Linked DNA regions of Caenorhabditis elegans. The protein of the gene in region 1 purifies or fractionates together with the protein of each later gene. This does not show direct contact. Each region holds a gene or a part of one and is shown in the gene's direction. Other genes may lie near its edges. The genes, in order: mrpl-54, mog-2 and mrpl-11.

Evidence for each region.
Region 2: the proteins of mrpl-54 (region 1) and mog-2 fractionate together in Caenorhabditis elegans (co-fractionation; one large-scale study listed by BioGRID). This does not show direct contact.
Region 3: the proteins of mrpl-54 (region 1) and mrpl-11 fractionate together in Caenorhabditis elegans (co-fractionation; one large-scale study listed by BioGRID). This does not show direct contact.

Annotation. Positions count from the first base shown.
Region 1 is NC_003279.8:9,158,522-9,161,480, reverse strand, and holds mrpl-54 (Large ribosomal subunit protein mL54), read left to right. Parts: upstream 1-1,958; coding exon 1,959-2,360; downstream 2,361-2,959. Other genes in the region: clsp-1 (Claspin), read left to right, coding at 1-537, 605-821, 1,021-1,395; F25H5.10 (uncharacterized protein), read right to left, coding at 2,495-2,680.
Region 2 is NC_003280.10:4,322,480-4,326,694, forward strand, and holds mog-2 (putative U2 small nuclear ribonucleoprotein A'), read left to right. Parts: upstream 1-1,881; 5' UTR 1,882-1,887; coding exon 1,888-2,117; intron 2,118-2,856; coding exon 2,857-3,388; 3' UTR 3,389-3,563; downstream 3,564-4,215. Other genes in the region: Y52E8A.1 (RNA helicase), read left to right, coding at 6-77; H20J04.6 (Transmembrane protein 222), read left to right, coding at 781-866, 919-1,003, 1,054-1,179, 1,228-1,437. UniProt on the Caenorhabditis elegans protein: This protein is associated with sn-RNP U2. It helps the A' protein to bind stem loop IV of U2 snRNA. Required maternally for early embryonic development and zygotically for germline and somatic development. Has a role in the switch from mitosis to meiosis.
Region 3 is NC_003281.10:8,715,982-8,719,145, forward strand, and holds mrpl-11 (Large ribosomal subunit protein uL11m), read left to right. Parts: upstream 1-1,662; 5' UTR 1,663-1,665; coding exon 1,666-1,748; intron 1,749-1,935; coding exon 1,936-2,174; intron 2,175-2,223; coding exon 2,224-2,489; 3' UTR 2,490-2,586; downstream 2,587-3,164. Other genes in the region: B0303.14 (uncharacterized protein), read right to left, coding at 136-175.

The DNA of each region.
Region 1 (2,959 bases):
AAGCCAAGACGTTTTTGGATCGGGAACTTTGGAAGATTCCGAAACTATCAAAGAAATTTGCGAAAAATCTGGTGAATTCACTGAAAAGATAGAAACAGTTTTAGAAGAAAAAACCGAGCTGAAAAGAGTTGTTCTGAGTGATGGTGAAGATAGTGATGAAGAAGCTGAAGAAGCTGAAGAAGAAGGTGATGATGAAGAAGAACCAGAGGAAGATGACATCGAGAGTGAGAATGATGAAGCTGAAACCGAAGGAGTAGAAGCTCCGGATCCAAATTTCGACGATGAAGACGATGAATTAGCTATCTTGAAACGTTTGCAACACCAAGAATACAAACAAAAAATCAAAAAGAGAACACTTTTTGATGATGAAGCTTCACTTTCCGGTGATGATGTTGGAAGTGATCTAGAAGATGAAGAAGGCATGGAAAACGTTTATGAAGCAGAAGAAGGAGATGCAGATGATGTTCCCGATAATGATACTATTCGGAGGCAGAATCATAAGTTGTTGCTGAAACAGGAAAACGATAAGGAACAAAGGTAATATATTTTCTCTATTTTTTTTACTTTGGCATGTAGAATCAAAAATTAATTTATAATTTTCCAGAGAGCTTGCAAAACTTCAAGACCGTCTACTTGCCGACGGAGATCTCGGTGGAGTTGAGACGAATCGTCAATTCCGTTTCAAGTTACGAGAAGAAGTTCAAATTCAAATGGGAGATGATGTAGATGGAAATGATGGTGATGGAGAAGATGATGAACCAGAAGAAGATGAACAAAAAAAGAAGGAACGAGCCGAAATGATCAAGTTCAAATATGAACATGTGAGTTGATAATAATTTCCCACAAAAAATGTTTTGAGCACAAAACATTGTTCGAAAAAAGGTAATTAAAAATTATTACTCCTTTTGATTTTGTTATATTCTAAATGAAATCCAAAAATATTAAAATTCTTTCAAATGTTATGCATAGTTTTTAAAAAAGTTATATGTTTCTTGAAGTTATTTTACATAATATTTTCAGGCGGAAGAATTGATGTTGCTCGATGAGCCGAAACAAGGCGATGATATGTTTGCTCGCGCCGGAAAGTTATTCAAGAAAACTGAAAAAACTGTAATCGAATTCTCCGAAGAAACAATGTTCAAACCGAGACTCAGCAAGCCATCTCTACTGTCAAAAACCACTCTTGCTGTCACATTTCAAGAAGTTCTGAATGGACCTGGAGGTGCAGCAAAACAGATGTATGTGCAAAGCTTTGAGAAGCCAACTCCTCTCTCAACTGGACATATAAGTTCACCGTCGTCTCGATTGAGCACAGGAAAACGATTGCTGAAATCGCCAGAATCGTCAGCATCTGCAAAACGTGTCAGATCTAGTAAACTTAGCTCTTTGGAATAATTTTTCTATTGCTTTTTTTTTGTGAATTACAGTTATTACCCCTCAAAACCTCTGACATATCTGTATTTTGTTCTCACTTATCTGTGGATTTTATTTCTCTATTTTATGACTGGTTGTGTTATTTTTAAACAAAAAGATCTTGTATTTTATAAGATTTTAAAATTGTTTTTAAAAGAAGTTTGAATACTTTTTCGTATCTAATGTGCATGTATTATGTCGATCAAGTGTGCCGGAGAAAAATTTCAATATATTTCTCGATGGAGCTAGCAAATTTTTATAATAACTTCAAAAAATTCTAGAATGTCACATTCTAAAATTGCAGTTTTTCTATTTATAGTAAAAACAATTATTCGAAAAGCAAATAAAGTAAATCTTTTAAAAAATTAATTAAAGTAAAATGGAGGCAGTTCATGGTTGAGCTTTTTTCCGCTTTTTTAAAGAAAAGTTCGACCCGAAAAATGAAATTATCACATTTAAAGATATTTTGCTTGTACATAGTTGAACGCAATATTATCTTGCTTTGAGTATGTGCGATTTCAAGAGTTCTAGTTTCAAAATTTCAGATGCTCCGTTCGACTCTTTCAACAGTCAGTCGAACTACATCACTGATACCTCGACGCTTATATGCTCCACCAAAAGCTGCAGCAGCTGCTGCAGGTGTAAAAGTCGACAAATCTTTCGTCGAAGAAGATGCTGTCAAATTGGCAACCCACGTATGCATCAATGCATACACACAAGGAGATGAGCCGGGACCGAAAATTCTTCCAGACTCGGAGTATCCTGAATGGCTGTTCAAATTGGATCTTCGAGCACCAAGAGATTTAGAAGATTTGGATGCCGAAAAGGATGGATGGTTGTACTGGAGAGCTCTAAGAAAAAGACAAGTCGAGCAAAATCAACGAATTCAGAAGTTGAAGACTAAGTTCCTACACTTGCAGAATAGTCCCAGTATGAAGAAGAATTAAGTTCCGGAGTATTTTCAATTGTTGACTTTATTTGTTTTTAAATTTTTAGCATCAATCTATTATCTAGTTTATAGAAATGAATTTATTTTTACTTTTACTTAAAAAATCGAACTTATATATGTAATGCCAAAATTTCACTTTCTTTTCTTCGCCAATTTTTTCTTCTGCTCCTCTTCATGGTTCTTCTGCGCACGATCCGCGAGCACACTGTCAAAAAACTTTTTTCGATCGGAAATTTCGGCCTCTCCCCAATTAGTAAAGTTTCCGTCTTCGAATTGTGTTGCATATGGATCGTTATGGTTGCTGGTTGAAGGCTGCATCTGAAAATTATGAAACTAGTGAAATTGAGAAAGTCCAAGAAAAGAAAAAGTTGCACATTTAGAAAAAACTTTTTTCTGCAAATATCCGTGTTTTCTCAACAAAAAATCTCAGAAGGAAATTTCGATTGACTTTTTTGTTACAGAATTCTTACAGTAACTTAAAGGTGCACACACAAAATGTTTTTAGAACGCGTGACGAGACCCTTGCTCTAAAATCTGTCACCCATGAAAGTCGTTGAAATTTGGAAATAAAACAAGTGATTATGTTTTTAAAAACAA
Region 2 (4,215 bases), on another chromosome or scaffold:
TGCAGGGAGGTTTAAGAGATTTCAAGAATCGAGGAAACATCACTTTGAAGGTCCAACGCACAATTGAAAAACAATAACTTTCCTGATTTCTTTTCGTTTATGACTTCCAATTGATTGATGAAGATTATTTTTATTTCATTATTGATTCAAATTCATTTTTCAATGTAAAAAGATGGAAAAAACAGATATTCAGAAGTGAACTTGAAAAAGAGACTTTTTGCTCCCGCCTGGATGAAAAACCTTCGGGATCTTCAACATTTACCTATCTCAACTTTGGTGTTTCCTTTTCAGTTTCATTGTTATTCAGTTTGTCTTGGCTTGTACTTTGCACATATTGTCCATTCATACCGCAATTTGATAGCATCTCTTTCGATCTTTGCCTGATAAAGACTTATGCGCCTTTAGGAATGGGTAGTACGGTAGGGTTTAATTTCCGCTTTGGCTTTTTTGTTCATAAAAATTCCAATTAAATTAGAATTTTCCTATTTTTAGTTGCCGAATAAATATTAAATTTTCTTATTATTCCAAGTTTTTTGCGCGTACAATACTGCGCATTGTGTGCAGTTTCGCCGCGCGGTGTTTGCGGACATTTGAATTTTCGATTTATTTTTTTCCAGAATTTTGCGTTTTTCGATTGTTTTCCTTCAATTTTGAGGCGATTTTTTGATTTTTCGGCTTAAAATTATCACGAAATTTTGTTTCATACATTTTAAACGTTTTAATCACCTGATCTGCTCGTTTTTTTCCAATTCACCAGTGTCTATCTCCATTTCTAGGTCAATGATGCCGCTCACCGACCGTGACATCTGCCCAGAAAACAATCGGTATCCATACTGCATTGTTTGGACTCCGATTCCATGCCTGACGTAGGAAATATCTAATTTTATCCCAATAATCCAGCTAAAAATGCTGTTTCAGTTGGTTTTTCCCATTCATCGGCCACATGGGAATCGCGAATAGCCGTGGAATCATTCGAGACTTTGCTGGGAGCTATTATGTGGCGGTTTGTGCCCAAATTCAATTTATTACTTCCAAAAAGTAGAATATTTTTAGGAAGACGACATGGGATTCGGCTGGCCCACAAGATACTGGCAATTAGGCCCGGAAAAGGTGGAAGGTGGCGCGGAAGTCTTCGATAGAGCAGTTCAAGATGCTTCCGACACGTATAAAACTAGAACTGTACGGTTTTTAATCGATTTTTCCGATCAATATTTCATTTATTTCCAGCACAATCTCATCTGCGATAATTGTCACTCGCACGTGGCTCTGGCTCTCAACAAAATGCGCTACGATGAGCGCGAGGACTGGAATATGATCAATTTGGCGTGGTATTCACTGACAAAAGGAAGCTTCGTTCGTAACACGGATATGCTCGCTCAATACCTTCCATTCGTTATAATTGTCTTCATTTTCGTTGCGCTGTGGGCTTTTTTATAATTTTTGACCATGGGAATTCTACAAAATGACCTATTTCATTATGTTTTCCAGCATATTTTCATTGAAAATTAGATTTATCTAGAAACAGCATTTATTTCAGCCGAAACAGTTGAGAAAATGAACAAAAATGGACGTTTCAGCTGGAATAAATGGTAATTTCAGAGAAATCGAGGGATTTTCTATATTTTTACACTGATTTTTCGTGAATAATGCTGAAAAACATGGTTAAATAGACTATTTTGTGGAATAATTTGATCTCATGTAAAATATAGTCCAACTGTTAAATATTTCGTGTGATATATTATGTAAAATGTATTTTTTTTCTGTAATTTTCATATATATTTTTTTCAAGTTTTCTTGATGTTTAACCGGTTTGCAGCCGACTTTTTGTCTATCTTCTATGTTTTTTTGTTATTTTTTACATTGAAAACCCCCTAATTCCAGCGAAAAATGGTCCGTCTCACGACTGAGCTGTTCGCCGAGCGTCCACAATTCGTCAATTCGGTCAATATGCGGGAGATCAACTTGCGCGGCCAAAAAATCCCCGTAATCGAGAATATGGGAGTGACGAGGGATCAATTCGATGTCATCGATCTGACTGACAACGATATCAGGAAATTGGACAATTTTCCGACGTTTTCTCGTTTGAATACGCTGTATCTTCATAATAATCGAATCAAGTGCGTAGTTTTCCGAAAAACGAGCGAAAAGTGGCTAAATTTAGCTAAAAATATAGAATTTTGCACCATATTTTGCTGGAAAAGCCCAAATTTTAGCTAAAAATTCCAATTTTGCCAATTTATCCGTGTTTTAGTGCTTTTCCAGTCGATTTGTACCCAACTTTGGTTATTTTCGACTGAAAAGTACCGAAAAATGGGGTTTCCTGGCAGAATTCGGTGATTTCAGCTTGAAATAGGGTTTTAAAAAATTTTAAACCGGAAAATTCTGACAAACTTCCCTAAATTGAATTTAAAAAATTGAAAAAAAAACGTTTCTTTGCTCTGAAATTTCATGAAATTTCCAAATTTTTTTTTCGGCAAGTTGGCGAAAAATTCAGATTTAGCCGGATTTCGCTATTTTTTCCAAAAAAAAAAAACGAAAAAATCAGTTTTTTATGAAAGAACATAGGAAAAATATAATTTTTTTCCTGAAAAAGTTCGAAAAATTTTAAGCCATTTTTCGAAAAATCGAAGTTTTTTTCGGAAAGTAGGGGAAAAAATCGATTTTTCAGAAAATATCCTAAAATTTTGGTCATTTTCAAATTTTTAAAATACTTTCTCTAATTTATTCTTCAAAAATTTAAATTTTATGGTTACTATTTCCTGAAAAAAAATTAAAAACCCTCCATTTTTCATTGCAAAACTGCTTTTTTCCCACATTTTCGAGCTCCATTCCCACCAATTTACCCCATATTTTCAGCTATATCGCACCCGACATTGCCACAAAACTTCCAAATCTCAAAACTCTTGCACTGACCAACAACAACATTTGCGAGCTCGGAGACATTGAGCCACTGGCAGAATGCAAGAAGCTCGAGTACGTGACATTTATCGGAAATCCGATAACTCACAAGGACAATTATCGGATGTATATGATCTACAAGCTGCCGACGGTTCGAGTGATTGACTTCAATCGAGTCAGACTGACAGAACGTGAAGCTGCGAAGAAGATGTTCAAAGGAAAAAGTGGAAAGAAGGCGAGAGATGCGATTCAGAAGAGTGTTCATACAGAAGATCCATCAGAAATTGAACCAAATGAGAATAGTTCGGGTGGAGGTGCTCGGCTTACTGATGAAGATCGGGAGAAGATCAAGGAAGCGATCAAGAATGCCAAGTCACTCAGTGAAGTCAACTATCTTCAGTCGATTCTGGCATCGGGAAAGGTTCCGGAAAAGGGATGGAATCGTCAGATGGATCAGAATGGTGCCGATGGGGAAGCGATGGAGTCTTGAAAAATCTTGAAAATTGCAGAATGTGCTGCTAAAATTTATTTATTTATTTTATTTGATTTTTTTAATGTTAAAATGATACTCCTTGTTTTATTTATATTCTCATTTTTTTCCAATTTTTTCCCAGTCTGTCTTCCCTTTTTTTGTAATTTTTATATACCATAAAACAATATTTCCCCTATTATTTTTGATATTTTTATCGATTTTTCAAAGGTTCCCCGTGCCTTTTTATATTTGATTTTTTGAAATTTTTGCAACAAAAAGTTAGAAAAAAATCCTTTTTCAGCCATTTTTGTGTTTTCCGGCTATTTTTTATTATTTTATTAATTTTGAGAGGTTCCCACTGGGAACTTCCCAGCGCCTTCAAATATCTATTTGGAAAAAAAAGGTTTAAAAATTGGAAAAAACGCGGATTTTTTTTTGAATTCTCGCCTAAAATAATCCATTTTTTGTGTTTTTTTGTCATTTTTCCGCAAAAAAAAAACTTCAAAACCCTTAAAAAAATGCGTTAAAACTCTAAAATTACCCTAAAAATCGATAATTTTAGACTTTTTTTTTCACAAAAACTATCGATTTTTGGCTAATTTTAGAGTTTTCAACTTTTTTTGCTGAAAAATGACTGAAAATGTGACAATGAAAAACCGATAAAAAAAGCCGGAAAATACAAAAATGTAGAAAATCGGTGAGAAATTCAAAAATAAATCGGCTTTCACTAGTTTTTTTGCAAAATATTTTGAAAAATCTTTTTTTTTCAATTATAAAAATTTTTTTTGGTCAGTTTTGGCAAAAAAAACCAAAAAAAAACTGGCTCTCTACCATTAAAACAATTA
Region 3 (3,164 bases), on another chromosome or scaffold:
ATAATTTCAATATTTATATTTTTGTGGATTTGTCAATTGTTATAACGTTTTATGAAAGGTTTTAAATTTCTTTAATATTTTCTACATTTGGTTTTGGTAACCATTAAAAAATTTTGGAAATATTGAAATACTTACCTTCTCCTGGGAATACGACACGTCCAGCAAGTCTTGACATTTGTATTATTTTTCGGTGGTTGAGAGATCTGAAATTAAAATAAATAACTATTTCAAATTTGATAATTAAAAGCGGGGAGTGTACAGGAAGTTTGGAATCTATGATTTTTTGCGATGAATATTATTATTGGCAGGTAAATCTAGATTACGGTATTTTTCCTGTTAACAGCTCATATATCAGTCACTATCAGTTATCTTTGAATTTATCAAAAATTATTCAACTATGAAAATATATGAAAACGTTTCGTACGTAATATAAATTATAAATTGTTTTAAAATGCCAAAAATAAATTAGATAGAAGTTGTCAAAGTAGAGCCAAAGGACAGCAAAAGCAATGAAGAGGTACGGTAGCTTGGACTTTGAAGAAAGATTCTAGGTTAAGATTCTAGGAAAAAAAAACCATATTAGAAACAAATGTTCACCACTAAATAGTGAGTTGTCAATAGTGAATGAAAGCAGAAACATATAATCTTTGCCAGCATTGTAAACGCCACCTTTTTCAGCCAAAATCAATCGATACTACCTTATGATCACTTGGTACAGTGGGAAAGATGTTACCTTCTCATATGACGTCACATCTCCAGATATAAACTAGATTGATTTAGGGCTAGACGTACCAATTTGGGTAGAGGTAGGGGAAAGAGAAAACTATGCATTTTATAGAATATCTTGAATTTAATGAGTCTGAGCGTTTCGGAAATTATTTCCTATATCAACTGTATTAGAATTTCATATGTCGTTAGATATTATTTCAGGCAATGACAATTTTATTTAACCAGGAACCAATACTGTTAAAATAGATTTTAGAGACTTATTTAACTTAATTCATGTTTAAATCACCAAAAATGATATCATAGATATAAACCTACAACTTTTAGTAATTAAAAGTCAACTTGAACATAAATTTGACACAATTCCAAAATTTTAAAATTTGACGTTCCCGTTAGGGATGATTAAAAATCGTTGAAATCTATTTAAAGATTAAAATGAAACCAAATGATTTTAGCAGGCGTCTAGGGAAACCTTTCAATAGACTGGAAGTTGATAATATGTGAGGTAGTACGTTATATTGGACTATAAAATGAGGGAAAACCAATAATTTGATTTTTAAGAGGGTATATTTCATTTTAAAATAAAAGAGAACGAAGGGAATAGTCTAACGTGTTATAATCCAAACATTTTTCTTCTAAATGACATTGTAATATTATTTGAATTTTCAGATACTACAGCAATTTCCAGACTTGCAACTTTGCCGCGCTAAACAACACGCGCTACGACACTCCGCTCGCTCGCTTTTTTGTTTTTCACTGTTTTCAGCTGAATTATTTTTCTTTGAAGCGCGCTCGTCATCTTTTCTTCTTTTTTTTCTGAGTTTTCGTAAATATCAAATTAATTAATTTTAATATTCCTGCTGTTACATCTTTCTTAAAAAATCCCTCTGCTTGCCAAGACTATTTGTGAAATTTCAATTTTCAACGCCTTTTCAGAAAATGGCAAGCAAAGGTGCGGCCCGTGTCAGAAAGAAGGAGATTGTCAAAGTTGTTCATGGAGCGTTACTCAGAACCAATATTAAGTGAGTTTTAATTGGAATAAAAAAATACTTCAGCATATCTCAAAACTAATCCGAAAAGTTCAGTATTATTGTGTTTTCCACATAAATTTGCAAACCTATCTCTCAATTCCGAAGTCACAAAAAAAGTATAGTTAGTTTAAAAAAATTAATTTTTCAATAAAGAAGTAAAATAATAATGTAATTCCAGAGCACAAATGGCGTCGGCTGCTCCACCACTTGGACCACAACTTGGTCAACGTGGGCTCAATGTCGCGAATTTTTGCAAAGAGTTCAACAAAGAAACAGGCCATTTCAAACAAGGAGTCCCACTTCCCACACGAATCACTGTAAAGCCAGATAGAACATATGATTTGGAGATTTGTACACCGACGACGACATGGCTTTTGAAACAAGCCGCTGGTATTGGGAGAGGAAAAGCAAGTAAAGGTGAGAAGCATCTTATGTTCAAAGTTTGCAATTAAATCATTTTTTTCAGACGAAATCGTTGGAAAATTAACGGTAAAACATCTGTATGAAATCGCCAAAATCAAATCACGAGATAAAGCTTTACAACACGTCCCGCTTGAACAAATCTGTCGAATGCTGATAAAAACATGTAGAACATTGGGAATTGATGTACAATATCATGATTTGGATCCAGTCGAATTGAAAGAATTTTTAGTTGCCCGGAAAGAGAAAGTTGATGCTCAGTTGAAGGATTTGGCAGATAAAAAGGCGGCGAAGATGCTCCGAACCACTTAATAAATTTTGTTTGGTTATAGGAATATCCTCCTAGGATAGACGTTTTTTTCTAGTAATTTTTGTTGTTTTTGTTCGTTACAATAAATCTCATTTTTATTTTCTGGATTAATTTGATTACCAATCGTTTCCAGCGATTTTCACATATTTTTCCAGAATTTAATACAGATTAATATTTTCGAAAAATTTAAACATTTTCTTTTCACATTTTAATTCATCTCTATTCATTATGCAATACTCTTTTGGTTTTCAAGCATCCGACATTCCTCCGTTTCATTTATGTTTGCATTTCTGCTGGCATGAATGCATTTCATTGTGTCTCGATGAGAAAAAGGACAATTTCATGAGCTTATCAGTTACTTCGTTTTCAAAATTTTAATGTTGACCAGCCATTGATGTCATATTTTGTCTAAGAAGCTCAAGAACTATTATTTTTTGAAGCTTAATTTCGAAGAGCAACATTTTTTTTCATTAAAATTCAGCAGTCATTGTTCTTTAAAAAGTTTTGATTCTCGTTTTTAAACGATTTTTAATTCAGTCGAGAATTGAATAACTTCCCGATTTCCCGGCCACCATCGTTTAATACCTTTTCTTTATGAGACTAACTTCCAAGTATGCAAATTGCAAATCGACGCAAGGGGAATACACTCGCTCACTTCTCATCGAAATTCGAAACCT